2 linked regions of the Oreochromis niloticus genome follow. The protein of the gene in region 1 binds, or shares a complex with, the protein of each later gene. Links are inferred from orthologs where the notes say so. Each region holds a gene or a part of one and is shown in the gene's direction. Other genes may lie near its edges.

The links.
Region 2: dpm1 (region 1) and dpm3 share a complex: the UniProt entries of both Homo sapiens proteins name them as parts of the dolichol-phosphate mannose (DPM) synthase complex. The link is inferred for Oreochromis niloticus from reciprocal best matches to the Homo sapiens genes DPM1 and DPM3.

What each region holds. Positions count from the first base shown.
Region 1 is NC_031984.2:31,713,364-31,729,054, forward strand, and holds dpm1 (dolichol-phosphate mannosyltransferase subunit 1), read left to right. Parts: upstream 1-9,166; 5' UTR 9,167-9,221; coding exon 9,222-9,352; intron 9,353-9,552; coding exon 9,553-9,652; intron 9,653-9,837; coding exon 9,838-9,871; intron 9,872-9,965; coding exon 9,966-10,042; intron 10,043-10,553; coding exon 10,554-10,579; intron 10,580-11,196; coding exon 11,197-11,292; intron 11,293-11,423; coding exon 11,424-11,492; intron 11,493-11,615; coding exon 11,616-11,730; intron 11,731-14,345; coding exon 14,346-14,450; 3' UTR 14,451-15,088; downstream 15,089-15,691. Other genes in the region: slc35h1 (solute carrier family 35 member C2), read left to right, coding at 983-1,144, 1,653-1,681. UniProt on the Homo sapiens protein: Transfers mannose from GDP-mannose to dolichol monophosphate to form dolichol phosphate mannose (Dol-P-Man) which is the mannosyl donor in pathways leading to N-glycosylation, glycosyl phosphatidylinositol membrane anchoring, and O-mannosylation of proteins; catalytic subunit of the dolichol-phosphate mannose (DPM) synthase complex.
Region 2 is NC_031985.2:17,174,564-17,189,544, forward strand, and holds dpm3 (dolichol-phosphate mannosyltransferase subunit 3), read left to right. Parts: upstream 1-8,767; 5' UTR 8,768-8,853; intron 8,854-9,064; 5' UTR 9,065-9,110; coding exon 9,111-9,389; 3' UTR 9,390-10,605; downstream 10,606-14,981. UniProt on the Homo sapiens protein: Stabilizer subunit of the dolichol-phosphate mannose (DPM) synthase complex; tethers catalytic subunit DPM1 to the endoplasmic reticulum.

The sequences.
Region 1 (15,691 bases):
ATAAATAAATACATTTTTTTAAAAAGCCCAGAGAGAACAGCCCAAATTTTGTCGTCAACAAAGTGCAATGTGTAAAGGCAACAACCCTTATGTTTAGTGTTATTATCCATGATAATAGCAGCAGGTACAAAAGACACTCTGTCTCTTGGTCTTTACTGCAAGCACTTTATATTGCTGTATTAGAGAGTATGGTCTGAACACAAGATGACAGAGGTTGCCTTCCTCAGCACCTGCCTGTTATAAAAGTCCGCAAGCTGGACCTGAGGCCTCTCTGAAATCTGATCAGCCACTTTACCCAGATAGCTGGTCTTATTGTTCAAAGGCACATTACCATACCAAGCAATGATACAGAACATTAAAACAGATTCAATAAAACCTTTATAAAAAAAGGGTCATCATTTCAGATGAAACGTTAAAACCTCTCCTTAAAAAGTACAGTCGTTGTTGATCCTTTTTCACTACAGCAGCAAGATGTGACTCAAAGGACAGAGCCTTATAACGAACAACCCCCAAATACTTGTAACTGTCCACCAGTTCAATGGCTGCACCATTTACTACTGTCAGTGCAGAATGGGGAGAAGGATTCCTGAAGTCAGTTACCATGTCCTTAGTTTTCAAAGTGTTGATCTTTAAGAATGACTGATCACACCAAGAAGCAAACTCATCCACAACAGGCCAACGGGAATCCTCTTCACCACGAAGGAGGCTTACAATGACTGTGTCAACTGCATATTTAATGAAATGCCTGTTAACCTGTGTAGTGCAACAGTCGTTAGTGTACAGATATATAGTAAAGGGGAGAGACAACAACCCTGTGGCGAACCAGTAGAATAATTCAGCTGTTTGGAAAAGCAGCCGTTGCTATATGTGCTAATAATGAATAATGATAAACTCCTTGTTTTTGACTGTCCCGTATCTTGAGTGTTTTGATAAGCACCTAAAATAAAATGTGGTATTACTGTTTTAAAATGTGTGTCCACAGGACCTCCTGGTGAGTCTAAGCTGGGAATCCCAGGTCCCAAAGGGGAAAATGGTAAGCCGGGGCCATCTGGGATCTCCGGAACACCGGGTCAGCCGGGCGAGATTGGACCACCGGGTGTTTGTGACAACAGCGGAGGCTGCCGCATGATTCCCCAGCAAACAGGTTAGCAGCTAGAGAAAGGCGTACTAATCATGCAACCCTGGGAATATGAGTATGAGGATCCAGGCCTGATTTTTGTTTCGTTTTAACTAATGAAGTACATGTGTAAGTACATGCATGTATCTATGTTTGTCTGGTGTAAGGGGAGAGCTGCAGTAGGCAGGATTTCTATTCTCAAATTCTGGTGTGTGTTTTTTTATTGTTGTTGTTGTTGAGTGTTTCTTTTATGGTAATATGGCAATTTTGGCTGAGAGTGCTGAAGTCCCAATCTGCTGTCCACACCTTACGTTTATGAGGGGCAGCCAATCAGAAGATAGATGGTTTAAAGAATGGGTTGACTTAAAAGGAGATGAAGTAAACCAGCTTGTTTTAGTAGCTGCACGTTACTAAATCACTGTGGACTGTGTTCAACTGTGAGTCATGCAAAGCACTTCTCATTTGAAAGAATTGGGTAACTTAGACATAATTTTCACTTATTCAGCATCCTTTTCAAGTTTCTTTCTTCACACAGAAGACTCTTATGATGACTACCAGCCTTGAGTGGAGAAAACATGCAGGAGGCAGTGGTAAGGTGACTGACATCTGTAGGAAATGACGGGTTCATTTGGAAGTGAGCAAAAGACTGACATTGGCGGTTTGAAGAGGTTTGCTGCATTGAAAAGGAAAATAGTAAGGGAAGATTGTCTTTCTCTTCTCTTATTAAAATCTTCACTCATGTTTCAAATCAGCTAAGAAATTATTCACTTAAGAACAATTAGGAAGCTTTCTCATACAAAACCTACCAGTTGATGGATGGCTTCATAAGAGATCTTTTCCCAGTGGAATCTGTAAAGTGTTGCCTTAAACAATGTATTCGCACTGAAACCTTTGTTGCCGTGTTTCTGTATTCATGCACTGTATCAATGCCAAATAGTTTAGCTGCATATGTTATTTTCTGTGTATTTCATTTGCCATTCTAACCTTAACTGCCTCAAGAAGAATGAAATTGCATAATCCATGGTGGAAAAGCTTCTTTTTCTTCCATGGTATAAATGATGCTGTGAGAATGTTTCTTTCCACGTGTATGATAATTGTTGTATTGTTAATTGTATTAACTGTATCTGGATATCCATGTTTATTTTAAACTGTATGAATTCTAATTGCTTATTCGTGTTTACATTTAATGATTTCCAAAGCTTTGATGACAAGAATTTGTTTGTGTATAAAAGAAAGAGAAAAACAGTGTAGGATAATATTTCTTATGGTGTATGTTTTTGGATGGTTTTTCTATGTTTTTTTTAATCTTGTTAATAAAATGTATAAAAATGTGTGTAATTAATCACAATGTGTTAGTATGTAATCACCCTGAGACATGCATGCCTGTCTGCCAGCGTCAAATCTAAAGCCATTTCTGATTTGCAGATGTAGCCTGCAGATTATCCCAGCTCTCGTCACTAAATATCCAGTCTTCACTTATCAAATCTATGAAATTCAAGGCTGGTCCTTAAAAGCACCCAACAACGCAAACTGCATAGCCAATTTTGCATTGTGTCAGTGAAAATAAAGTCATAATGTAATGAAATGCTATTGATTAAAGACTGCTAGAAGGGTGAAAAAAATTACATGACAGTGTCATAGTTCTTCATTGGAACCATCTTGAGGAGATCAGTGGGGTCTATTTTGCAGAGCACAGCCAACCTGTATGTGACAAGCAAAATGTTGTTGTCAAATTGCCTGCTGTAGTAGTCTCGCTCCCTGGGGCTGCAGTAATCCTAGCGTATTTGCTAAAATAAAGGCAGGTCATTTGGACCGAAGTGGGGAAACTCTTGTTCCCTTCAAATACTTTGCACCACACTGCAGAAAATAAACTCTCTGTTACTGATCTTACTTTTAAGTAGTTAGTGAAAGTGCTGAAATATATTTAGAAATGCACTTACACTCTTAAAAGTGCCCCCCAAAAATGTCCCTTTTGACTTTGTCATGTTATTTGATCATTATTGCTATTGCATTCATGTACAAGCAGGATATTAAAGCTGTAGTTCGATTTTATTGTGGAATAGTCTGCTGAATATTTGTGAATTGATTAGCCTGTAAAAGACGCGTCATCACAGACACCCATTTATTATTATGAAAAAAATCCGTCCGATTGATGATTTAATTCATCATTTCTGTGATGAGGTCTGTTTACTACGGAAGAGGATTAGGGCCACTGGGGGGAAAAAAAGTGGGCACATGTTTTTTTTCTTCTTTTCCAGAATTCTGAGAAAAAAGTCTCAGTTGTATTTGTTTGTCTGATTGTTGAATTGTTTCTGTATTATTTTGTGTATTGTTCTGGCCAGGTTGCTTCCCAGAAGAAGATAGTCATAATAATACTTGTTTTTGTTGTGGTGTAAAACTGTATTGCCCGCTTACAGGGCCATCCTTTTTGTGAAGCAGACCGCTGATTCACATCAAGGTCCAGCGTGCTGTAACTTGTAATTTCAACTGCTACAGTGAATGAAATCTTTTAAAAGACAGTCGTTCTCCTGTGCTTCTTTTAAGAGAAGAAAATGAACACAGCAAGTACAAAAAGCTAAACTCACCACTAGGTAAAGATCACCCTGAGTGGCTTTAACTTCGATGCTGTCAATTTTGCTGGTCAATATTACTATATTGACCAAATAAATATTATGTTTTATTGCAGCTTGAAAAAGCAGTGCTGCTTTGTGCGAAGAAGAGCAAAAAAGGAGAAATCCGATGTGAAATATTAACCCCTGGCTGCAGACTAACAGCCTTTGTCAAGGAACCCTTTCAGAAGATGGGGTGATGTTATCAGTATTGTTGTGAAGGTAAGATTCAGATCCTGCATTTTTAAAGTTATGATTTATGTTTTTGGTGTAAAAAAAAATATTTTCTTATGTTTACCTGTTAGAAGACCATTTTACTGTAAAAACAGAAATTCAATCATCAACCCTTCTCCCATTTTCACATAAGCCATCTTTAATGTCCTCTTCTCTGCCACTGTCACCGGAGTATCTAGCTTTATGCCGACCACAGAGCCAGCCTTGCTGATTAGTTTTTCCTGGATGAGTCCTTCTTTGCTGTGCTGCTCCCCCAGCACACCACAGCATAGAATAGTACTTTGGCAACCACCAACTGGTAAAACAACCTCAGGAGCTTCGTGCAGATGTTGAAAGACCTCAGTATCCTGAGGAAGTACAGTCTGCTTTGGCCTTTTTTATGCAGGTGGTGCATGTTGCATGACCAGTCCAGTTTGTTGTCCACACACAGCCCCAGGTACTTGTACTTGTTGACCACCTCCATCTCCTCTCCCTCTATCTGAACTGGCAGTGGACCTGGTCTGGACCTCCCCAAGTCCACAACCAGTTGCCTTGGTCTTTGAGGTGTTGAGTTGCAGGTGGTTTGTGTGACTCCATGTAACAAAATTCCTCGCCAGCCTCCTGTACTCTTCCTGATCATCCCAAATACACCCCATGGTGGCTGTGTCGTCCGCAAACTTCTGAATATGGCAGGATTCAGAGGTGTACAGGGTGAAGAGAAGAGGGGACAGCACAGTTCCCTGTGGTGCTCCTCTGCTGTGATGTCCTTCAGCCTGACGTACTGTGGTCTGTTGGTGAGGTAGTTGGCAATCCAAGCAACCAGGCAGGTGTCTACCTGTATCCTGTTCAGTTTTTCCTGGAGCAGACAGGGCCTGATTGTGTTAAAGGCACTCAAAGTCAAGAAACAGGATCCTGGCCGTGCCTTTTCCCTTGTCCAGGTGTGAGTGGGCTCTGTGTAGGAGGTACAGAATAGCATCTTCCACTCCAACATCCGCCTTGTAGCCGAACTGTAGTGGGTCCTGGGCATGTTGTACCTGTGGTCGGAGGAGGTTGAGAAAGAGCCGCTTGAGTTTGTTTGCCTTCTCCACAGTCCCCCCCACTGTGTTGTTCTTGGTGTTGTGGCCTGTGATGATTTTTACACCATCCCAGACTTCCCTCATATTGTTCCTCTCCATCTTCTGCTCCACCTTCCTCCTATAGGAGTCTTTTGCTTCCCTCAGGCAGTGTTTCACCTCCTACTGTGCTTCATCTCCTCTTTCACTTTGCTCCTGAAGGCCTTCTTCTTCATGTTGAGGACAGCTTTGACTTCCTGTGTTACCCACTGTTTGTTATTAGGATAACACCGTACCACCTTAGCAGGGGCGACCGCATCCACACAAAAATTGAGATAATTTGTATGACAGTGCGAATTTTGGCATCAATTCTTCAAAATAATCTCGGATATATTGAATATAAAATTGACTCCGACTCCACATATCGCTATATTTGGCAAACCACCAAATAACCTTCAAACTACAGCTATTCAGAATAACCTTATTGCCTTTGCTTCTCTCATTGCTAGAAAAAGAATTTTGTTGTTGTGGAAATCATCTCAGCCACCATTAATTAAAGTCTGGCTACAGGATATCTTAGGACTCTTAAAATTGAAGAAGATAAAATTCTCCATCAGAGGCTCATCGGATAGATTTTTTACTTACTGGAAACCATTACTTAAATACTTAGAAAAGGTACCAGCACGAGAAATCTCTCTGTAATCCACCATATGATGATGTACAAATTTTTCTGCTATTCCTGGCAGTGGCTGATCTACCTTATAAAAATACTCTATTTAAAGATATTCCAGCATTATTAATTGGTTTCGACGAGGAGCAAGTAACCATTAACACAAATATTGTTACTATTGTTGGATAAGATTTATATCAATATTGATTAATGTTAAGACCTTATTTTAGGAGGCTACCAGATGTTAATGTTAATATTAAACTATAAGGAAATGCATTAATATTTTATTGTTGATTTTTTTTAATTATTATTATTATTTATTTATTTATTTATTTATTTATTTATTGATGGGTCAACTCATTTTCTCTGCAAAATATTTATTTTTTCATTATTGGGAGGGAGTGGGGGGTATTCATGTATTTAGGTATTCATCTCATTTATGTTTTGTGTATGCTATAAAAAAGAAATAGGAAAAGATTATTATTTCTATATGTACTTATATGTTTTATGACAGTTCGGTATTGAAAATAAAATATATACCTATGTATGACAGTGTGTCGCCTCCTCTATGTCCTCATCATGTGGGATCAGAAGCACATCCCAGTCTGTGGTGTCATAGCAGTCTCTCAGAGCATCCTCCTTTTCTGGGGTCCATCTCCTAATGGAGCATGTTGTGACAGGCTGCCTTTGCATGAGGGGTCCAAAGGCAATCTATCTATTGTGCTTTGTATCTTTGGCTCAACATTTCTGTGCATATTTCCAGCCATCACGTCATAGGATCGGAATAATCTCGATACAATTTAAACCCTTTACTGTCCAAATTTCCCAAGCCATATGTGTCTGCTAAATATATTTTGCTCCTTTTCCATAAAATGGGATAGATGTTTTTTCACAGAGTGCTCCTACCACACCTCACTAGAGACTTTCCCAATCAGGAGTGCAAAAGAAGAAAGAGTGAGAAAATACATAGAATGCACAGAAAACTGCCAACAAGCTTCCTTTTGTCTTGTCTGTTTGTCAGCGACATAATTTGTATCAGTTATGCATTTTAGAATAAAACATCAGGCAGTTTCTACAGAAAAATATGCTAAAACAATGACAACTTTAAACCAATGCCCATGGGATATGTATGGGAAGATATAGATGTAATACCCATATGCATATTAGAGTACAGATCAAATGTAATCACATTTATTCTATACACTTTGGGCATTTTCTCTACCTCACATCCATTTTCCAAGCAAGCAAGCAGGCATGTGCTTTGACTGTGGGAAAAATTAAAAGACATGTTTTGTTATGTTCTGTCTTTGAGGGGAACTTCATTTTTCCCCATTCTGTTTTCAGTGGTGAAGAGTTTCCTGGGAGACAAAGGACTCGCTCCGGATCAATCAATAAATATGGAAAGTATAAAGTGAGGTTTTTTGTTTGTTTGTTTGTTTCCCAGCGTTTTCTTATGTTAAGCTTTTCAACTTCAGTTCCATGTCCATTACAACAGCACACAGCTTTGTTCCCTGTTTGACATATAAATGTTTTGTATTTCAATTTTGTTATCTTTCATAATAAAAAAATTGCCAAATATTATCATTTTTGTTGTTATTCGTACCTACAATGTCATTAAAACACAATTTCGATAGCTACATGGTTAAGATACAGCTCATAAAAGAAACACATAGAATATTGATATACTGTGTGAAATTTGTGATAATCTGCATTGAATTAAGATAGCCTGTTGATTTCAGGTAAGAGAAAAGTTTAATAAATGACGTTTTTAAAGAGCCTTATAAATGTGATGTCTAAAGTTAACGCCAATGAAAAGCCACCATTTTAATATAGAACCTTGGTTATGGCGCTTGAAGATGTAAGCATCAGAGAACAAAGGACCCACTGACTGGAAGCTGTCAATTAACAAGTTACGGGAGCACAGAACACAGCGTTGCCCATAATCCTTGGCTACTTATAGTCACTAGTATCCATAGCCATATGCTCTTCAGAATGAAAGCTATATAACGATAACTTTCCTATTTTTATTATTGTCTAGCTACACAATGAAGCTAATTAGAGTGGTATGAGGCCGTCCTACAGCTGACAACCCAAGGCAGGAATTGAATCCGATTCCTGAATCACAAACCTCGAAGAACTACAACTATGCCCGTTGATTGGCACAGTTTATATACAAGTCTTTGTCACTTGTGTCGCTGAAATTATATTTTTGATGTAATTAGGTCTATTTTCCAGATAACGCTTCAGGTTACCGAGACATTTTGGACCAGTCTGCTTAAAACATTGTGAGAACAGTTCTGGGAGGGTCTTTTTCTCTTCCAACATGACTGTGGCCTAATGTACAAACATGGTCCATAAAGACATGATTGAATGTGTTTGCCATAGAAGCAGAGTGGCTTGCTTTGAGCCCTGATCTTAACTCCATCAAGCACCATTGTGATGAACCAGAATGGAGATTGCAAACGTCCAACATTGGTGTCTTACATATCAAATGCTCTTCTGGATGAATGGGTAAAAAAAAAAAGAAAAAAAAAATCCAAAGACATGTTAAAAAAATCTTGTAGAAAACCTTGGCTGACAAATGTAAACACTTAAAGCTGCAAATGCGGTTCCGATCCACACTCCAGTCCAGATGGTGGCAGTAAAGCACCTGAAGTTGTTTGCCATCTGCCATAAATAGATAGAAGAAGACGAAGCAGGATGTCGCGTGCTGCTTTTTAAGCAGTGTACCTGCAGAAATGTACTGACCCTGTTCACTAAAGCTATAAAAAAAAACTATGGTTGTATGTGAAAAAAATGAAGATCCTTCAATCACTTTATTCTCTGGCTTAATTAGATAAACTTCTCCCCCTGGCGTATGTGTATTGTATGTTCTGGCTAATGCTTGTTTGTTTGTTTGTTTCTGGTACACAATTTCTGGACGTACAAAACCTTTAATGTAATACTGTTTAATTTTACTTTGTATTGTACTAATCTTTAAATAAAGATCTTAAAAAAAACCTGCAGTAGATTAACGTCGCGTTTTTTGACATTTAGGTCCACACTCCACACCAGTTGGTGGCGGTAATGCACCTGAAGTTGTTTGCCATCTGCCATAAATAGATAGAAGAAGACGAAGCAGGATGTCGCGTGCTGCTTTTTAAGCAGTGTACCTGCAGAAATGTACTGACCCTGTTCACTAAAGCTATAAAAAAAAACTATGGTTGTATGTGAAAAAAATGAAGATCCTTCAATCACTTTATTCTCTGGCTTAATTAGATAAACTTCTCCCCCTGGCGTATGTGTATTGTATGTTCTGGCTAATGCTTGTTTGTTTGTTTGTTTCTGGTACACAATTTCTGGACGTACAAAACCTTTAATGTAATACTGTTTAATTTTACTTTGTATTGTACTAATCTTTAAATAAAGATCTTAAAAAAAACCTGCAGTAGATTAACGTCGCGTTTTTTGACATTTAGGTCCACACTCCACACCAGTTGGTGGCGGTAATGCACCATTTTGCTGTTTGCTAACCACCTATAAATAATATAAGGAAGAAGGAGCAGAAGCTCAACGTCGCCATGGCAAGCAGGAAAACGTCGCGGCCAAACCGAGACAGCGGGGACAAATACTCAGTACTATTACCCACCTACAACGAAAGAGAAAATCTGCCTTTAATAGTGTGGCTGCTTGTCAAGTATTTCGGGGAAAGGTGAGTTACTGGGAGTTAGCAAAGGCTCTCCGCTCGTGCTAGCTAACGGTGGAAGTCAATGATGAGCTGTCACTAAACAAGTGTCAGTAGCTCGACTTCAAGGGGTCAGTGTAGGATTTCAAGAATATAAGAGCTGTAAGGGTAATATTAAGCTTACTTATTGCTGCCGTATTCTTATATTTCATTTGCCTTATTTACAGTGGTTTTAACTACGAGATAATTGTTATTGATGACGGAAGCCCAGATGGAACACTGGAGGTGGCAGAGCAGCTTCAGAAAGTCTATGGGGAGGACAAGATCGTAAGTTTTAAAGCAGTAAAGATAGATATGTTACTTTAAGAAGTACCAACAGTACATCACGAAAGTATTTATGAAATAAGAGCGCATTTAATGTGTCATAACGTTGTTTTGCTTGGGAAGTATTTGCCATAGTATTTACTGTCCATGCCAAAGGATTTACTTAAACTATTTTGTGTGTGTTTCAGCTGCTACGACCAAGAGCGAAAAAATTAGGCTTAGGTAAGTATTAAACTGTGCCAGAATGAGTGTGTAAGCTCTAGTAAATTTTGTCATCTGCTCATCAGAGTGTTTGTCCTGCTGTTTTCTTTCAAAGGCACTGCCTATATCCACGGCATGAAGCATGCTTCTGGGAACTTCATCATCATAATGGATGCAGATCTTTCCCATCATGTGAGTGGAGCATGTTTCAGTCATTCTGTCTGTGTTCGTCTTTTAATGGCTTGACAACAGTAAGTGGTAAAATTTTACATGTGTAACTTACAGTCTCAGTATCCACTCTTCAGGTTATCTTTCTGATTAAGTGGTTAATCATATATCAACAGTTCCTTCTTTTAGATCAGCTGACAATTCGTTAATATTCCCTAAAGCAGGGGTCTCAAACTCGCGGCCCGGGAGCCACTTGCGGCCCACATCACCCCTACTTTGTTTGTTTGTTTGTTATTATACTACTTGAACACTAAAGTGGCCCTCCAATGAGATGACAGTACCAGCAGTGGCCCACAGCTCATTTAAGTTAGAGACCGCTGCCCTAAAGCCTAAATCGTCAATTGTTCTTAGCTACAACCAGGTTACTGGTATACATTCTGCCATTTCTAATGTGCCTAAAATGTTAAGTATAACAGATTCTCTGTCTGTTATTTCTTGTCAGCAATAATCTTAATGTTTTTCTTTTCCATTTCAGCCCAAGTTTATCCCAGAATTTATTCAGTAAGTGTCTCTGAATTCACATTTCCTATATTTTTATTTCTGTAAAGCCAGACTTACTTGGCTGGATTTTAGGGACCAATGCCAGTGGTGATTTATAGGGAGTAAAGAAAGAATCTGCAATTGGCAAAGAGGGGAAAAAAGGCTGAGGTATGGTGGACTGAAAATCTGTGGCAACAGAACTGACAACACTGTGATGAAATTTGAGGAAACATGGATTTTTTTTTTTATTGTGCATGCACAACTTCAATAGGCACCAATAAGCATGATGGAGAGGTTCAGCTGAATAACTGACATCCATGTAGGTGTGACGTAGTAGTGAGCTGTGTGCTGCAGCATTTTGAATTTCATCACAAAGCTGAAGTAACATGGGAGTCTGTGGTAACTGTAGACATAAATTGAGTAAATACAAAAATGTGTTTGATGACCTGATGCATGTAGAGAAAAAAAATACCCTGCACAGCACTGTTTGTCTGTCATAGCTCAGTATCAGCCAAAAATTTCAGCTAACAAATACTAAATCAGCTCCAGGAGATTAATATTTATTCAGCATCTCTGCCTTGGATGACAGTTGTGTCTTTCCTTTTATTTCAAATACCTTTTGTTTTTTGTTATGTCAGGAAGCAGAAGGAAGGCGATTACGACTTGGTTTCTGGTACTCGATACCGAGGGAACGGAGGGGTTTACGGCTGGGACCTTCGCAGGAAACTCATCAGGTCACTACTGGTTAACACTTCTTTGTAATCAGTTTCCACTCACCTAATAGGCAAGAGGCTGAAGTTTTATATTTCTTCATTTTTTTTCTTCTTTTTTTTTTCTCTCCTCCCCTTCCTCCTCTTGTTCACAGTCGGGGGGCCAACTTTTTGGCTCAGGTGTTGTTGAGACCTGGTGCTTCAGATCTCACAGGCAGCTTCAGGTAAATGGTGTTACTGTTGTGATGTTGTGAATTAAGTGCTACTGACTGTTACAATTAGAGCTGTATTTTCTTTCACTACTGCTGTGTTTATTTTATTTTTTTTCCTCCACTGACTGACTTCAGACTATACAAGAAAAAGGTGCTGGAGAGTCTTGTTGAGCAGTGTGTGTCCAAAGGCTACGTCTTTCAGATGGAAATGATCGTCCGAGCCAGACAACTCAACTACACAATCGGAGAGGTGAGGTTCTCTCTCTCTCGCTTTAATAATTTTTTTTTTTTTTAAATGTGTTTAATTTTCAGGTAGTTCAGTGTGAGAAAAATCATTCGTGTGTCATTCGTTCTCTTCATTTTTTTAGTTGAGGATTAAAATCGAGGAAAAAAGAAAATGTGTTATTTTTGTCATTCATCTCTTTTGAGTGCTTTTTTTCCTCTTGATTTTATGCTAATTGAAAAATGAAAAAGCAGGCCAAGAAAACCATTTGATTCTCATATTTAATCAGTCTGATTTGTGTGAGCAGGAAGCTGCTGACTTGTTTTTAAAAAAGGGGTAATAAGTATCTAATTTTTTTTTAATGCTTTACAGTTTTTGGCTTGCTATTAGGAGCTTTCAAACTGCATTCTGCTTCATTACAGCACTTTTAGGAGTGAAGAACTCCCAGAAAAAGCTTTAACACATTTAAAACCAGTTTTTAGAGCAATTTCACAGCTTTGTTTGTGTCCAGACCACATAGCTTCAAAACCAATATGCGTATATGGGTCATATACACACAGAAATAGATTTCATAGAATGTTTGCGACTTTAATATAGGATAAAGGAGCAATTTCCCCCCCAAAAAATCTGCATTAAATATCCTATTAGAGCAGGTGTAGCTTAAAAGCCAAACACTTGCTAGAAGGTATACAGCGACATTTGCGGGTTAGCCAGATGACAGTCTCTCTTTTTCTCTGGCTAGATGACTGTGGTACTCCTGCTGAACATGCTGGAAGCACCGTGTTCTCACTTATTTGTGTTACTTGTATGCTTTAAGTGTGATAGAAAGCCTCTTTATTTATTTTATTTTATTTTATATGTGCTTTTGTTGTTAATTACTTTTGGCTATTTATTATTTCCCAAGGGATTTCCACAGTGGATAGAAGTGCATGCACAGAGTTCTACAGCAGAGGGGCGTACTATGAAACAAGTTCAACACAGCCAGTTTTCATTGTGTTAACTAGTGTGGGGAAAAAAAAATCTAAAACTGCTTTCAGCACGCTCACATAAAACGAGGTGTTTGACACATCATGTGACTCTTCTGCTTACAAAGATCCCTTTGAATAACATCTACTCCAGTGAGAGACATTATTAGACGATGATGATAAATTGGTAATTTAAAATCTATAAAGAACATAAAACAGTGAACTGCAGCACTGTTGCAGATAATTAATGCTGTAGAAGTCATTAATCTTGGGATTTAGTGCACAGAGCAGTAAAATAAACATTTTAATTTAAGGGAATTATTTTAATGATGAGTGAGCCTTCGGTGCTGCTGTTTACTTCTGTTTTCTTGTAGCTGCAATTCTAGTGTAAAATAGTTAGCAGTAGATCAGAATCAAATATAAAAACATTTAACTCCAGATTAATACATGCATTAATTCATTCCCATGACATGCACACATGAAATGTGTTCTATATCCATAATAACTACCTCCATTGTCACAAAGAGCCACTGCAGCTTGTAGCGCCGCACGTTGTGATTCGGCAGTTTTATTTCCTAACACAACGAGAGAGGGATTTGAGTCTTTTGTTCAACCTTTCACCTGTTGAACAAATGTGTTAACCGCTACACTGTGAAGCCACCCAAGCACAGGATCTATATTGCACTTAAAACATGCCGTAAATAATAGAATCTGTGAAAACTTCCGGCAGTTTTAAACCGAAACCCTGAACGCAACCCGCTCCCAAGCAGGTTGTGTGTTTAGCATAAGTTACCATGGTGATTTAGCCAGGTAAAAAGAGATCCACTTCCGCCACACAGAAACCTCAGGCTTTAAGCTCCAGATAGCTCGCTAAGCACTTGATTTATGCCTCGTATTACACCCCTCAGGAGTGCAGTAACTTGTACACTCCTTGAGGTTGACTTTGTGCCTCCTTCTGGTATCAAACCCATGATGTCTACACCATGGAGCCACTTCCTGTAGTTTAGGTTAAGTTAAATATTATCTCAGTGTTCATGTAATTTCTTTTCTGAAAGCTTCATTGTTATTTCAGTTAAGATCTTTTTTTTTTTTTAAATACTTTTAGTTCAGTTTCAGCCATCCATATTTACCAATTTGACACAGTTTCACATTTGTGAAGTTATTATTTTGTTATATTAAACATGTAAAACGGGTCTGGTCAAACCCACCTACAGACAGTTTTCTAGATATGAATAAAGTCTACTTTTAAACTAAAGGAAGTATTCAGTGTATACTTAAATCTGAAGTGCCACATTTAAAAAGTAGACTGCTAATTGGTGTATTTGAGGCTGTCTGAGCTCTTTCCATGGACTTTAGGCTACTAGATCCTTAATTGTAAATGGCAAACAAAAGAGAAGAGTCTTCTTCAGACATGTTCACACTACTGCAAATACTCTGATTCAGCTGCCTGGATAGACCTGGCAGGAAATGGCGCACAGGAGGGTCATTTTCTTGTGGTGTTTGAACAGAACCTGCAGCATAATGTTTTCTGGTTTTATTTTTAAAAAAATCCAGTAAATGACCCTTTTACTGTTACCTTTGATTTTTATTTATGACATTAAAATCATGTTAACTCTTCTCATAACTAGTAAATCATGGATTTCTGCATGTAAAACAAATCTGTGGTTCTTCCAACAGGTACCCATTTCCTTTGTGGACCGGGTTTATGGAGAGTCCAAACTGGGAGGGAATGAGATTGTATCGTACGCCAAGGGACTGCTCATGCTTTTTGCCACAACATGATCAGTGATTTACTCAGTTTGTAAAACCCACAGGCCTATAGTCTTCCTCTTACTGTGTTTAATACGGTTCTATCAGAATTGTAATGAGGAGGGGAAAAAAACTCCACTTGCCTGTGGTCAGACAGCAGCACGACAGCAAATACCAAGGGAGACATCTCTCCCTGTTAGGTGTAAATATAAAAGAAGTCCCTGTCAGTAGACCTTCAAGAATACAAAAGAAACATAGTGCTTTACATTCCCATCATCCTCTTTAATCAGTTTCTGGCAAAGCGTCTCGTCATTCCCGGCCCAGACAGCTGACTGAACTCTGCATTAACAAGCTGTCACATGACTTAAAGTGCACACTGAAGTGCTCCACCTATGATTGATTGTATAGGATTAAACTGTTTTTTATCACTGGCCTTGAGATTTTTTTTCCCTTGGGGATGCAGGCAGCTTCTCTTACTGATTTTCTTTAAGGAGTTTAAAGCCTGAATTAAACATGATTAGTTATTGATATTTTGGACTCAGAACGTTGACCTCCAAGGTCTTTCAGTAAATTGGCTTTTTCCTGATGATTGTTGTAGTAGTGACTCCATACAGCCCTTATGGAAGTTTAACTCTGTCATTCTCAACAAATAAATATTTTTCTTCCCGTTTCTTCATTGCATATTTGAAAGAAAAAAAAAAAAAGTCAATAGATAAAGTTCCATTTATAGATTCTTTACTGGTTTTCAGATTCCTGTAAAATGCATTTGATCACAACACCATTAACCTTTTGGAATCCACTGTTATCACGGGAGTCTGCTGACAAGTCTGCGTGTATTAGCAGAATGCTACCATAAGGACAAAATCAGCTTCAGTGTAAGAAAAAGTCAAGGACATAAGTGTTGTTTCATTATGGAGTATGTCGCCAGTGCCCTCTGCAGGGCCCCCGCTGAATTGCGACCAATTCCTGAACAACGGAGTTAACGGGAGGTGGAGTAATTGCATCCAAACTTTAAGTTCTGGACTCTGGACCACCCTACAGTAACTGACCGTGTTCTGTTCAGAGGGTTAGGCTGATGTATAACTTGTGAGGAGTTAATCAAAGATGGTGTTTGGCCACTGAGTAACTTTTCCCCTTATGTTATTTAAATTTCAAGTAAAGGAATAATTCTGTGTTTTATTATTTTGGATTGATTTCTTTGTTTTACAAGCATAACACTCATCATCCATATTTCCGTATACAATTGTTCCTGTTAAAGAGGGGAAAAAACCTTT
Region 2 (14,981 bases), on another chromosome or scaffold:
AGTCTGACCCAATCAACTTCATTTATGGGTAATGACAGACAGACAGCCTGTCTGATGTGGTGGCCTCATTGAGCTGCCGCTTCCCGCCCCAAATCCATAGTCCTCCAATCCTTGACCTGTAGCATTTCAACATAAGGTCAATGGCAGTCACCAGCGGCATCAACAATAGCGTTTCTTTGTGTGGTTTCAATTGCAAAACTGACCTGTAAATGTGAAATAAATGATTTACTTCACCTTTCAAGCGCCCGGCGCTGATTATATTTGGCGTACTGCGCAATAGCTTAACTCTGTAGCCGCTATAAATGCATAATTAGTTTGTAGAGTAAATCAATAACATATGGATTTGTGCTTGGATGACCAAATCTATGCGATTTCCCCACTCATGCAAAGCAAGTAAAGAAACAAGAAAGGTCATTCTCTGCATAATGAGACACCGAAAGCGATATCTTGAATGCAGTCAGTGATGCTTGCATCCATCGACTGGGCGTAATTAGTTTTTTGTCTTTAACTTGATGTTCAGTTTGGCAGATCTGCCTATTTAATGCTTGTTTCAGTTTATCCCAGGCCTCCTTAATACATCAGTGAAATAAAGTTTGCCATGTCTACACTAAAATCAATGCGCTTTGTCTTCCTAATGGTCTATAGCTGCATTTCATTTAGCAATACAGTAGCATCTCCCAAAGAGCTGTTTGCATCACCTCTTTCAAGGGAAAAGAATGTAGTGAGCAGATCGGACTACTAGACAGAATTCCCCCTTCCTGCCATTACCATCAATTATGTAAACACAAGACGAGGTCAGTTTATTCCAGTCTAGACATGCAGCTCTCCATCATCCGCCCCTTGCTGTGTGCACAGCACTGACCCACATTAATACATTTATAATCAATACCTCCTCGGGTCCTGTGGGCATACTTGCCTATCAGATGTTGAAGGAAATTGTGCAGTCCAATTTAAAATGGCCGGGGGGTGGGTGGGGGAACTTTCATAGCCATGTGCCAATTAGTTCCACTGTCAATAACGGTAATCCTAAAGGACATTGTGTTTCAGGGTGAGAGGAGAGAATGGATGGAGGGAGGAGGGAGACATCATCAAGCTTATGCCCGTTGTTCATTGTTAATGGCTGTTACACTGACAAGAAGCATTTGATCAGACACTCACACACACACACACACACACATTGACACACACACACACACACACATATTGTGGCCTATGAATGTGGCTGAAGGGGTTGTGTTATGGGGCAGAATTACACGTGAAGATAACAAGTAATGACGTCTTATAAAGGTCAACAAACAAAGCACTAGTGGGACAAACGCAGGCTGTGTGATGAGATTCATTAGGACAGCATTGATAGCGTGGAGAGAGAGGAGAAGAGGGAATGGGGGGCGTGGGAGGTGGAGGGTGAAGGGTGAAGGGTGGGGGCCACATTCCTCCACTGTTTCACTGCTGCCATCACAGCAGCAGCTGAAACAGGTGTGTCTCTTTACTCGGGCCACCGAGGGCAAGTGCTGGTCTCACATGGTTAAGGATGGTCACACTTGACCACACTCTGACCTTACACCCAACGGAGTAGCCCGAGACTTCATTAAGCGGGCCCTAAGTAGCGTAGGGATCTCACAACTATTATGTCTGCAATTTAATACAGGCGCTGGCTGTCCGTAAATGATCGCGGCTCAAGGGTATTTATGAGCTGTGTGCTTATCAATGTCAAAACCTTCAGGAGTCCCACTTTAAGTCCAGGACCCCCGATGAGAAGAGTAGCCGGGTCCTCCACCCTGATGCCCCTACTTTGATTCATGGCCACCTCAACTGTCTGAAGAGCCTCTTCTTAAACTTTAAAGTTAGCAGACAAACTCAGCTTCACTCGTTATGATCCATCTGGGCACAAAGGTGCCATTTGAAGCCGAAAACAAAGGAGACAACTGAGAAGTAGCTTTGTTTAAGGACACATCAACACAGGCCTGACCTAATGGTGTTATTGGGATAACACACACCTTGTTGCACTGAGACTTGAAACCATTATTCATGATGTAAAAAATTAACACTTGAAACTTGATCTAACACATATCTGCCTAAAAATGTGACTGAAAACAAAGACATTAAAGCTTCAGGTTGTGGTGACAGGTAACAGTGACAGTTAGTGGCAGGAAGACCTAGCTAAAAAATTGTTCTTCATCTGATTCTTCTTTCAGGTCATTTCAGTTCATTTATTGTCAGTTTAAAATATAACAAGTCTATTCTATCTCTCCGTGCCTCTCAAAATCTTTCAAAAGAGAGGATTATGGCGGTGCTCCTCACTGAACATCGAATATGGAGTTGGAGGTTCCGCTGTAAGCATTTTAGCATTTAGCCATTTAGCATTTAATTTTGTTACTTTTTTGTTCATGAGACTTCTGACATCTAAAGTTTAATACTCAAAGTGTTACCCTCAAGGACAACACTTTTTCTGACCTCTCTTTGGACGAGCGATGTTGCTCTCATTGTGTTTCGGGGTTGTCAGCCACGCCTAAAGGTCATCAGACCATCATTGGGGCTGGACATCATGTCCCACTCATCCTCAGAGTGTCATCTATTGTTGAGCTTGTTGATAAGTATCCTGTTATGACCCCGGAATACTTGATAACTCATGGGTGGCAATCTGTTTCTTGCTTTCCTCTTCTCATGTTTTTGTGGTAACATCGGAAACAATTTGATTCCATAGACCAACTGAGTTTTGTTTCCCTAGGCGTTGTGGGTTTTCTTTTCCTTTTATTTCTTTGGCCTTGGAAGACTCTGAAACTTATCTGCTTCCTTTTGTTTTTCGCACTTGGTTTGTCTTTGTTAATTATCTCACTGTAAATAAATGACATACTTTAATACACTTAAGAGTGTTTCCGCTGTTTTTTCCCCTTGTTGCGCTTGGTCCCATATTTCCAGTAACTCCCAGTGTTCCCCTAGACATCACATCAAGGCTGTGGCACTGACATAAATTACATTTAAACACTTAAGTAAAAGAGTAGATTAAAAAAAGGCAATTCAGTTTTATTACTAAAAACGTAAATACACTTCACAATTTTCCATTTCTAGTGAATGCACTGTAAAAGTTTTTAATGAATATTGCAATTAAATTAGTTCCTGAATAGGTTTAAAGAGAAATGGGCCATGCTTTTTCCGATGATTCTTCATCTTTCATCAGTAAATCTGAGGTTGATGAGCTCTAAGCCTTTGCTAATTGGTTTAGCATTTTCCAGCCAGGCTGTACTGATTTTTAAGTTGATGTTTTCCAACCCACGTTTTCATGGAAAAAATCCTGAGCTGGAGAGATTTCATCTTGTTTTACCCCTTGTTTGGATTCCCAGACACGTATCACTTCTTCTTGTTCTTACACCAACCCAAAAAAAAAAATCTCTGCATGGAACCTGGACTGGACTGTAGGTCACTCTTTGCTTTTTCTCAAGCACATCAACACTCACATCTAATGACAACATTACACACAGCTACAGTCTCCAGCTCAGGAAACAGAGGCTTCCTGTTTTTGAATCCAGGCTCTATTGTTATCTTAAACAGCATTTTGACAGTCCACACACACTCACCCCCTCCTCTCTCCTTCTGCCTTTTTTTTTTGCGTTTTTTTTTTTTTTAATCTACCCAGCTTGCTTCACACACTTGAGATATTACACAATTACTATCTAGCCAATCTAGATCCTTATATAGCTTTGTAGTAGCACACATTCTTATCTGGACCTTTCACTCGGCTAATATTGACAAAGTCAAGGAGATAGAGTCAACACAACGCTCCATTACCACTGTTCCTGTTTTATCTATGGGCCTTATCCTTGCTTTCTGGCTGGAGTCACACAATCACTGCAGTTTCTGCTCTTAAAGATCAAGTATCTCCTCAACAATCACCATCTCTACCAATCCCTGTCACACACCATCTTTATGCTTTTGTTTCTCATTCCTTTTACTTGCACTGCTATATATATATATTCACTCCCCATTGTGGGAACTGAGATGCCTCATGCAGGTTTTTGTGCCGCTGAAGGTGTTAGAGGGATTGAGGAAAGTCTGGATAAGCAACAGCTGGATTTAATGCACCATTAAGGTCATTGGTTGTTCAAGCTGCACCTGCAAATCTCCTGATTTCACCCCCCCTGTCTAAAGCTTTTCCCCTTGTCTGCTCCCTCCCTCCCCTTATTTTTTCTGTTGCCCTCTCCTCTTTCTTTCACATACTTTGTCAGCCCTTTCTTTTTTATTTGTGGTCCTCTCAGCTTTCTGTGTCTGGTCCTCTCCTGTCCTATCAGCTTCGAAAGCCCCCACCCACCCCTTCTTTCTGGTTCTTTTACAAAAATAACTCTTTCACTACACACCCCCTGTCTTCCTATATTTTTATTTTTTGCTTTATTCTGCATATCCCACTCTGTTTCTTTTTTTCCAGTTTCAGTATCTCCCTCTCATTCTCTCAGTTTTCATGCCCCTCCTTCTCGCAGGCTGTTGTGTTGTGTCTGCCAGGCCTGCTCGATTGGAGGACAGGTTTCCTGAGTACTGGAACGGAACAGGAGCTGGCAGGGAGATACACTGAGAAAAGCCAGCTCGACCGTTCCCACTGAGAGTCACACGCGCTCACAGCGCTGCCCATACCACTGTATTCCAGGCAGGACACGGCACACGCTATGATGTATGTAATGATGTGGCATGTCATGGGTAATTCCACCAGGATTCACTTTATCATGGCGATGGAGAAACTTGACCTTGGTAGTCTGGTGTGTATCATGTCATGTCTGCTTAACAGTAACAAGTGCAGGGCCAAATGCAAAAACAGGATTAAACTCCAAAGACTGACGGTGCGCAGACCCTGTCTGCTTCTTTTTTATTATTTACCCAAATAGATCTCATTTTTGAGAACCGAAACATGAGTTTTCCAGATCATCTCCATATCAGGTTGCCTCCATAATTCTTAAGTCTGAACTTGCCCATGATAAGATGCGAAGCTTTTGAGTTTTCATTGAAGGCCGTGCCCGTGGTGTGATGGTGAATTTCGATCAGTTGCCATGAAACTTTAAGTTGTTGTAAATAACACATACATTATCCAGAGTGGCCCAAACGTCTCGTGTTCAACAGGAAAACCAGCCCTAAGGACCTCTACATTTTTGTTTTAATGATGGTTATAGTGTCACATAGTGACAACAGAAAATGATCTGTTTTATATGTTGATGTGCTTCTCCAAGTTGGTTGACCAGAACCACATGAAATTTGAAAACTATTGAGGAGCTGATGTTGCTTTATTGTGAAAACTGTCAGTTTTCATCAAACGGCGGTACCCTAGTGACATGGCCAGTTTTGATATGTCAATAACCCAAATATACAAGTCTGACCCATAGACAGCAATAAAGATGGACATATAGCTACCACAACATTGCCTATTGGCTAATGACTTGCGATTAACAACTTGTATCCAATGAATGTGCAGTTTCTCCATGTTGGCAGGTAGTGTGACTAAGATTTACAAGTTAGATTTACTTAGACTTTATCCAGTATGGCCCAAAACGATTGACTGAGCACAGCAGGAAACTGTTTACACATGTGAAGTCAGAAGGCTGTTTTTTATGAAGCAGGATGGGAAGTCTTTGCAACCACAGCTTTCACCATCTGCTGGACTCAAGATAGAATGCAGTTTTAAGGCAATTTTGCAATGACTTCATTTAAAAGACCTTCAAGATAAATCTAAACTTTGCATGTTTGATAAGAGTCCTGACTTTGCTTTCACACTTCTCAGTCATGGATACTGACTCCTCCAACAGATTTATTAAGATTGATATGATATTTGATCAGTTTAGTCATCAGACTTTGGTGATGCTAAGTTGTAATGCTTTTGAGTTCTTGTTAAAGGGTGACATGAGGAATTTTGATGTTTCCTCACTCATCTGTTCTTCTAACTCATCTGTCCCAAGCTTCACAAGTTTGACAGAGTCCAGGTCTGGAAACATCTACATGTCAGTATTGACCAGTGACTGCAGAAAACACTCATTGTCATAATCATTGGTCGATTCTTTTATTTAGTCATTGACACTGACTTACAGACATAGCACCACCTAGCGGTGACAGGAAAGTAGCATTACCATCATAAACATTGTTAGATATTAGCAATATTTTCACTTTAAGCTCTACAGCAACATGACTTATGATTACTGGGTGTTCTCCAGTGGCACTTAGTGGGCACAGGAAGTCATGTGTTAAGTTTTATAATCAGCTAATTACTAAAGATATATTTTAAATCTTCCAGATGTGGCTTTTCCCATATGTCACTGAATTGTTCAGAATCAGTAACTCTGAGACTTTTGTGAAGCTTTCTTTGTGGGCTCATGATCCTGATTATTGAACCATTAAAAAGCTAATAAAACATAATGGAGTTGCATCATTCACCCCTACTTGTGCTGCAGCTCCTTTTTATGACAGTCACAAGCAATAAACATGTAGGCCATGTAATAACAGAAGCGAGGGTGGTTTTACAAAGTCACCGAGTCATTCTCAAGATAAAGTATCCTTGAAAATACAAACTTGTTACATTTCAAATGTTTTGCAACACGCAGACATAAAACCCGACTAGCCTCAAGTCTTCCATATTGCAGTCTCCATTAGCAGAAGAAACAGGATCTAGCCCTCTGGCACATGCACAGATTGTCACTCACACTATTAACACTAATGCGGATAAACATAAACACCACCATCCTAAGAATAACTTCCATTTTTCCCCAAAGAATGATGTTTATTTCTCAGCTGCTCTTCGGTGTGTTCCCTTTTTTACAGCTGCGTGAATAATGTTTACATCTCCCACCGGTGACTTTACCCTGGAGAGATCTGTTGTCCCATGCACCTGGACAGTTCATCACCCCAGCTGAACAGATATGCCCCAGAGCACCCGAGGAGAAACTGAGATCAAATGACTGTGAGTTCCCGGTGGCCCCTAATTAAATTGTTGTTGGATTCCTCGCTTTGGAAAAAAAAAAAAAGCATTAGTATTTATGGATAGCTTTTAGGTGGTGCTAATGGTAATCTAATTTTCAAAATGGCTTTTCTAAATTAAGAGGATGACACAGAGGCAGAGTTAGAGGTCTAATGTAAGTTAGAGGTCTAATGTGTGTTAAAAGCCTGACTGGGGGCCTCATTAAAGACTCGCTTGACAAAGTGTTTGCTTTCTCTCAGCTGACAGGGTACTGGTGTTGTTAATAAATCAGACAGCAGTTTAGTGAAGTGTTTTAATGAAAAGCGAAAAGACAGCGACAACATTAAGATTTATTGAGACGTGCAAAAAACACGGGGAGCTGTTCTATTTAATCTTCCCAAACACTGTCTTCTTACTTCTTCTGTACCGTTCGATAACTACAACAAGAAAGCAATTATAGAATATAATAAGGATTTTATAAATCATTAAAATGACAGTGTATTGATTGTTAGATGGTGGAATGCATACAGATACAACAAAAAGGAGCAATGTTTGTATAAAAATATTATTTAAAACTTAAATTGTCTTTTGGTATTAGTTTGATATGAGATTTAATAAAAATATATAGTACTGCTCAAAAGTCTTCAGCTGCTCCTCGTGTCTTTATATTTTGCTAGGAAAATGGGAAATAAGTGCAGCAATTTATTAAAACATTCAAATAAATATGCAGTTTATATAGCAAAAACATGGGCTTAAACGTCAATATATGACCACCTTTATTCTTTGTCACAGCCTGATCTCTCTTCGGCAAACTTTCTTGTAGTCTTCAGGAAGTGTTCTCCAGGCTTCCTGAAGGACATCCAATACTTTTCTTTGGATGTTGGCTGCCTTTTCTTCTGTTTTTTGTCAAGATGATCCCACACTGCTTTAATAATATTGAGGTCCCGACTCTGGGGAGGCCAATCCATGACTCATATTGTTCCATTGTGTGTGTTTTCTCTCCAGGTATGCTTTTACTGCATTGGCAACGTGTTTGGGATCATTCCCATGCTCAAAAATGGAGTACCAAAATCTGGTACATTTCTGCATTCATAATTTCATCAATTTTGAGAAGATCTCCAACCCCACTGGCTGAAATGGAGCCCCAAACCATGACAGAGCCTCCACTGTGTTTTACAGATGGCTGTAGACACTCACTATTGTACCTATCCCCCAACCTCGTCATTACATACTGATGGTGATTTAAACCATAAATGTCAAATCTGGATTCATCACTCAGTCAGACCTGTTGCCACTGATTTTCAGCCCAGTTATTGAGTAATTTGTTACACCTCAGTCTTTTCTCCTTGTTTCCCTTCTTCAAGAATTTTTTTCATAGACTGAAATAAAGAAATGGACACAAATGTGTTTTTGTGATAGGCTGCTAATAAAAAGTAAAAAAAAAAAAAAAACCCAACTTGTTACTATGTTGTCTGTGTAGACACACCCGTGTCTCATTCCTTGAGTTAGGTGCCAAGTCTTTGTTAGGTCATTCGGGCTCAGAGCTGAAAAAAAATCCTGGTTAGGTAGAATGATTGGGAAAAGTCTGAAAGACTTTCAGAAAGCGTTAAGAAGTATTACTTAAGACCACTTTAAAAATAATTATAGGGATGTCTGGCTCCTTGGAAAGAAAATCTAAAGAAATGAGGGGTGAATGAGGGGTTTATTATGCACAGTGCTGTGCATAATAAAACGTATAAATATAAATTAAGAAAAGTTTAATCAAAATGTTACAAAAATGTTATATTTATTTTAAAAAAGTCCAGATAAAAACTCACCCTCTGTTAGAAACCCAGAGCCATTTCCGTCATTAACTCCATTTCCCATAAGGCACCGCGGCCTTTTAACGTCATTAATGTGCGCATAGCTGAGGTGGCGTTTGAGAAGAGGTAAACAAATCGGAATATTTTTGAAAAGATTTAATGCTTTAAAGGTCGAAATGAATGATGAATTGTTATTAAGTCTGTTGCGTTTTTATGGCTGTTTCTATTCTAATTATCCAACTGCTGTTTGTCTCTCGCGCGCGTTGTAGCCAAAACGGCTAACATGTTGCATTTACAGTGTGCTAAAGCTAAGCTAATCCAGTGCTTTCCCTGTCAGGTTGTTCTGTGGCTGCTCCCCTGAAATCCCGTCGGCAGCTTTCATCATGACCAAACTTCTGCAGTGGCTGTTCGGTGTGTCGCTGCTGGGCGCACTCTGGGCTTTGGTCACTTTTGACCTGTTGGACCTGAGCCTCCCGCAGACTTACAGAGAGGTCGCCTGGCCGATGCCTTTCTACCTGCTGATTTCATTTGGCTGCTACTCTCTGGCCACTGTGGGATACAGGGTGGCCACCTTCAATGACTGTGAGGAGGCGGCGAAAGAGCTACAGGAGCAAATAAAAGAAGCCAAAGAGGACTTAAGGAGAAAAGGTTTAAAAATGTAGAGATTAAAAGGGCACTATGTGTAAACTTCTGGGACTGAGAGGAGAAAAGCACGGACTATTGTCTTATGCACATAGTGTGTATTCCTGAAAAAAAGGGTCTTGTTTTGGAGACATCTTCCTGAACATCAGGAGTCTCATTCACGACTGTGTTTTATCAATTGGCTGTTTATCCAGTATGTTTCAGAAAATGAGGAAAGAGCCACACTGATACATTTTTTGTTTTTTAAATTTCGAAATGTATAACTTTTACTAAGCCAATCCACATTACCTCAGCATCGCAGGACTCTTAGTTAAAAACTGCAGGACATGCAGAAACATTTTGGAAGTGATGACGCAAAAGCCAGCAGTTGCTTTCTGATTGGGCCACAAAAGTTAAGCCAAAACATGTCAAAGCTTGACTCTGTTCTCCAAAGCCACGGCTTCTGCCTTTGATGGATAATACCTGGCTTTCTTATGCTTTTGCATTATATTCAGTCACACTTACACCTGATTGTAGGTCCAACTAAAGCAATCTTTGGGCTTTCTTTATGTCATTGCTGTTATTCCTCTGTAGTAATTTCACCCTTCTGATTGGTACCCTTGCCCAGCGTGTGTAATTGGCACTTAATGTAGACGTAGATCATCTCTAAAACTGCTTATTCAGTCAAAGTCAAAGCTCTTTAAATTAAAATGCATTACTGTGGCTGAAGCCCGAGAAATGAATGGTTTAATGAATGTTTTTCTGGTTAACTCATAAATGTCAAGAACGGAGGGGGAAAGGGTTTTGTAGCAGAGTTTATATCCAGCATCATTTTTGCTCTAATCTGTTTGTGTAATGTGGTTTGACTGATTAGCACATCTTACACCAGAAAGAAAGTCCAGTGAACACACATGGTGGTGTCTTTGGCTGTTAACTCCATACAGTTGCTTTCATGTTACTCTTTATGCTAAATTATCATCTGTACACAGTTGCTGTTCACTGTAATGCCAACAAACGCTCGCATTGCACCAATCTGATTAAAGACCGCTTCCACTGGGAAATCTCAGATGCTTTCAATCAGCCTCGGCTCCAGAGTAGCGCAGCACATGCTGGACCTTGTTGTGTTCGTCTGGAGATTGTTGCTTGTCGCTGTAGGTGGATTAGATTTTATCTGTAAAGGAATGTACATTCCATTGTCCAGTTTGAGAGTTGTACCCTGAAGGTAACGCTGAGAATTCATTAAATCTATTTTCCTCATTTTTTTTTTTTTTTAGTATAGAAATGTGTCTTTGTTGGTTTGAATGAGTATATGCATGAGTGCTTTTGTGTATGATGAATTCCTGCCTGGGGGCTTATATCAACTGTTCAATGCCTCCCTCTGTGTGAAAGGCTGATCTGTATCTGTCTGTCGTTGTTAATGACGAACTATACGCTACACAGCAGTTCCACGTCTTCCCACACAGAAGTTTGGTTCATAAATTGGAGAGAAAAAAAAAAAAAGTAAGCTAAGTCTGTAGTTCTGAAGTAAATGTGATTTTGGCAGTTGCAGTTCTTTTGTGAAAGCTTTAAAAAGGCTGCCTCTGCTCATTTCCAGTGAGTGCCTGCTGCGCATAAACAAAGCGTAGCCTGGCCAAAGGCATCATTATAGTGCTTCAAAAGCTCCCATAACTTCTGAACAAATGCAAAAGAGTTGGCAGTTCTCTCTGTGCAGGCTCTGCCCGTTGTGCTGTTTGGCTGCAGCCCCATCATGCCTTGCAACGTCACCCCCCATGAATGTCTGCAAGCTGTTGCTGGAGCAGACTGGATGAAAGACAAACCTCTCATTTACCAGAAAATCTTCTACTTTGGCAAATACACCAAAGGCTTCCCTCTGTATGCCGTTATGTTCTTACTCGTAGCCACATGTACAGTAGTTGATCACTTTCCTTTGTTTTCACTCTCCCCAAATCCAACTTTGAAGACGTGGGTTGTTGGGATGAAAGTATACCTCGGAATAGGCCAGAGATGTTAGATAGGTGAACAGCGCAGAGTGTTTTGTGCCGTTTTATCCCTTCTTTAAAACATGCAGAAGATAAGCTCCATTCCTGACTTTTGCGTTTACGTAACAGCAAATCTATGTAGGTGTAATCTGATTCAGAGATAGAGATGTTTATGAAAGCCACCCCGAATGACATAAAATACTTTAATGCTCTTTTAAAACATCTCTGTGCAATTCATTTGTCCTAAATGTGAAGTGATTGCCATCAAAACCGCTGCTGTTTGGTGCTTAAGTGGCAGTATTCACAGGAGAGGATGCACCTGATAGAGTAAAGTAACATGACACACTGTGCAAAATCTATAATAATGATTGCACAGTAATTCATTTTGTCTGTCTGCATACTCTTTTTGGCTTAGAGGTGAGAGCTTCGCTCCTCTCGTGAGAAATATGTGGAGAGCTTCCTTTGCATTTCAATTGACTTCTTAAAGATTCAGCTTTGTCAACTTTGAGAGCTGTTATTAGGCAGTGCATTTTAGAGGAGCAGCAGTAACAGGCCTTAAATTGTTACCTGGGCTCTGCAGCTGCCAGATGACTGGAGGGGGAAAAAATGAAATCGAGAGCTGATTATCCTCTGTCGCTAGTCTGAAGTTGTGACTCGAGTTCCATTATTGTTCCTCCACCGTTAGCTTTTCTCGAAGAACGATTTAAAAAATAGGAAAGGCAGGTTCTTTTTTCTGTAGAACTACATTTCATTTTATTCTTTGCTCAATTTCCTGGCTTGCTGTGCAGGTATACTGTATGTGCACCAGGGGAAACAAACACGGGTGACAATTAATGTGTCATGAAAATAACAACGCTCAAGATCTGCCAAAATTTTGAATTAGCAGGGAGACAACAGTAGGGCAAACTGCTGTGGTGGGGATGTACTACCTTAGGTATCAGTGATACAAATATAAAATGTACAAAGAATTTTACTTCACTGGAAAACTTCTCAGCACTGTGCGGTTGGCAGTAGGACTCTAAGATTGCATTTTACAAGGCAAACAGCAAACAGACAGCATCTCCATTCTTTTACATGTAGATAGTCATGATATGTTTCTTAATAATATACAGCTTTGTCTCATCACCACATGCCTTTTCCATGCAGGGCTACTAGCAATATAAACATGGCTATGGTAAATAAAAATGTAGGCGTAACCGGACTGCTTACATATTTTACCTTTATTGTTAAGGAAATCAAAGCTTTGCACAGCCCTATGATCATTGTATCACCTACATTAGCAGATCTCTTTAAGACCTCAATTTGATCTGCAGTATTAGAAATTCAGATTCGAGATTCTGTTCTCTTTCACATTGAAGATACGAAGCCGGTTTGCCATGCAATATTTAAAGTAGCTATTCAGTCTCGTAATACAAAGTGGATCATTCCGTAGACTTGTTCATGTGTCAAAGTCAACTAAAATCTCTCTGTGTTGTAAAGTGAATAAGTGGAAAACTTCAAATCCTTTTGTTGCGGTTTTTGTGCAGGTGATCTTTGGGGTAAGAGAGCCGCTTTCCAGCTTTTCATAATTGGTATGTCTGACAGTAAGAGAGGCTGGGAAAGATGACAAAAGTGCACAGACTGTTCTTCACCTTCTGCTCCAAAGCAGCAAGGTGAAAAGCATCGACCAAATTGTGTGAGGAGCCAAAAAAATTGGAGGAAACCTAATGGGGACTGAGGCAGACGGTGAGAGGGGGCCAGGCCACGGGGTTGTGCCCACAGCATGGCCCCACTGAGACCTTGAGACACTATAAAAAACATTTCTAGAGACACTCTGTGACACTGCTGGGAGCAAATCCATTTCGACAGGCTGAGAACCAAGACTGAAAAATGATAGGTTATCATTTTTCTGCACAGAAAAGACTTCTTTTTTTTCCCCACCCACACATTTCACAGCAAAACCTCAAACCCATCTAGAGACGGACAGAAAGAGAGATGGAAATGGAGTTATTGAGGGCTCAGAGCTGAAAAAGATGGAGATTTGATACATTTGATACAGATACAGAAACTGTGAGGAGCGGTAATAATGGGACGAGAGTCACTTGGGGACAAATTGAAACAGGAGATAGATACAGAGAGCGCGAGTGAATTAAAAGCGCAGAACAAAAGATGTGTGAAAGTACGAATGAATAAAAATGGGTGAAAATGACTAAGTGACACCGACAGGAAACCAAAGCATGAGCTGGAACAAAACAGATGACCCTGGCAGTGGTGACAGAGAGTGTATGACAGGGTTTTTCGGGAAGAGAAGACCACACCCCAACCGCTGCTGATGGCAGGGGACCAAAACGTGTCTCAACTGGTCCTGAGACGCCATCTTGTTCTGTGTAACCAAGGTGTTTTCTCCTTATCGGCCCTATCAGTCTCACCCTGCTAATGCTTTTGCAGGCACTAAAGCAGAAAAGAGCATAAAGGGCACTTTAAACAGTGCTGCTGCATTAAAAATACATTTAATCCTAATATAAAGTGCATCATTACTGCATAAAAGGAGGTGAACACTGCTTAAAAAGTCACTCATGGGTCAGCTTACTGTTCTTTCACTGCTGCTTTGATACTTACAGGACACTGGGTTGCCAATCTAGGGCAGTGTGAATGCCTATAAATGCTGCAAATAGCTACAATAACATTAGGTAACCTCCCAGAGGTCCTGTAAGCTAGATACTCCTGGCTCTTGTTAGAAGTAACATACGCTAGCAGGCAGACAGGGACGGATCATCGTGTGTCCTGCTGATAGGAGGCTCGACTCAGCCCAGATATGCAGAGACAGACCAGCTGGCCATGCCAAGCCTGCTCTGAATTGTGTCCTCTACAGCCTCCACCCAGGTTTTAGGGTTGCACACTGCTGGCAAGTCCTGACTCTGTCGAAGATAAATTGATAAATCCAGTCCATTTTTCTGCTCGAAAAGAAATATTTCATTCAGTTGCACCCGATTGCAGCTCTTGTGTATTGCCATTTTATTGGCAACTTTTGCTATTTGAGTTGCATTGCCAAGCGTTTATCTTTCAGAACTATTATTATTTGTCTGTGATTTCTTTTAATTTAAAACTAACAGTCTGTAGATGCGCTGTGAGGCTATGCTCGCTCAAAGCGAGGCTTTGAATTAAATAGAAACTCATATAAGATTACTGTGTGTCATGCTAATATTTGGTAATTAACGTTAAACACAAAATATATTAAAGTCATTTGTTTTGCCGGTATTTTTCCCCCTAAATTAAAAGTACAACAAATTAAAATTGTGACCTATTTCTGATACTAGAGGAAAAGTTATGAGTTCAGTCATTATGATTCATCCTGTGGGTGAGAATTCATTTAGATGTGAGCTGTTACATCCTTATTCAGAGCATTAGCATCCTGCTGCTGGTTTCACCAAAAATACTGGATTGTTTAATTACACCTACCACTGCTCTGCTTCAAAGACAGCTTGTATAAAGTATCATTGCAGTTTGGGAAATGGAATTTATTGGAGACAGTTTTTTTTTAAATGCAGGTGGTTAGAAAAGTCTTTGAGGATATTAGAAATACACCAAAAACATTGTTTTGTGTTACTGTTAATCTATTGATTAAATGATGACTGGCTCTGTAACTCGAATTTAATGAGGAAGGTCCCAAAATGG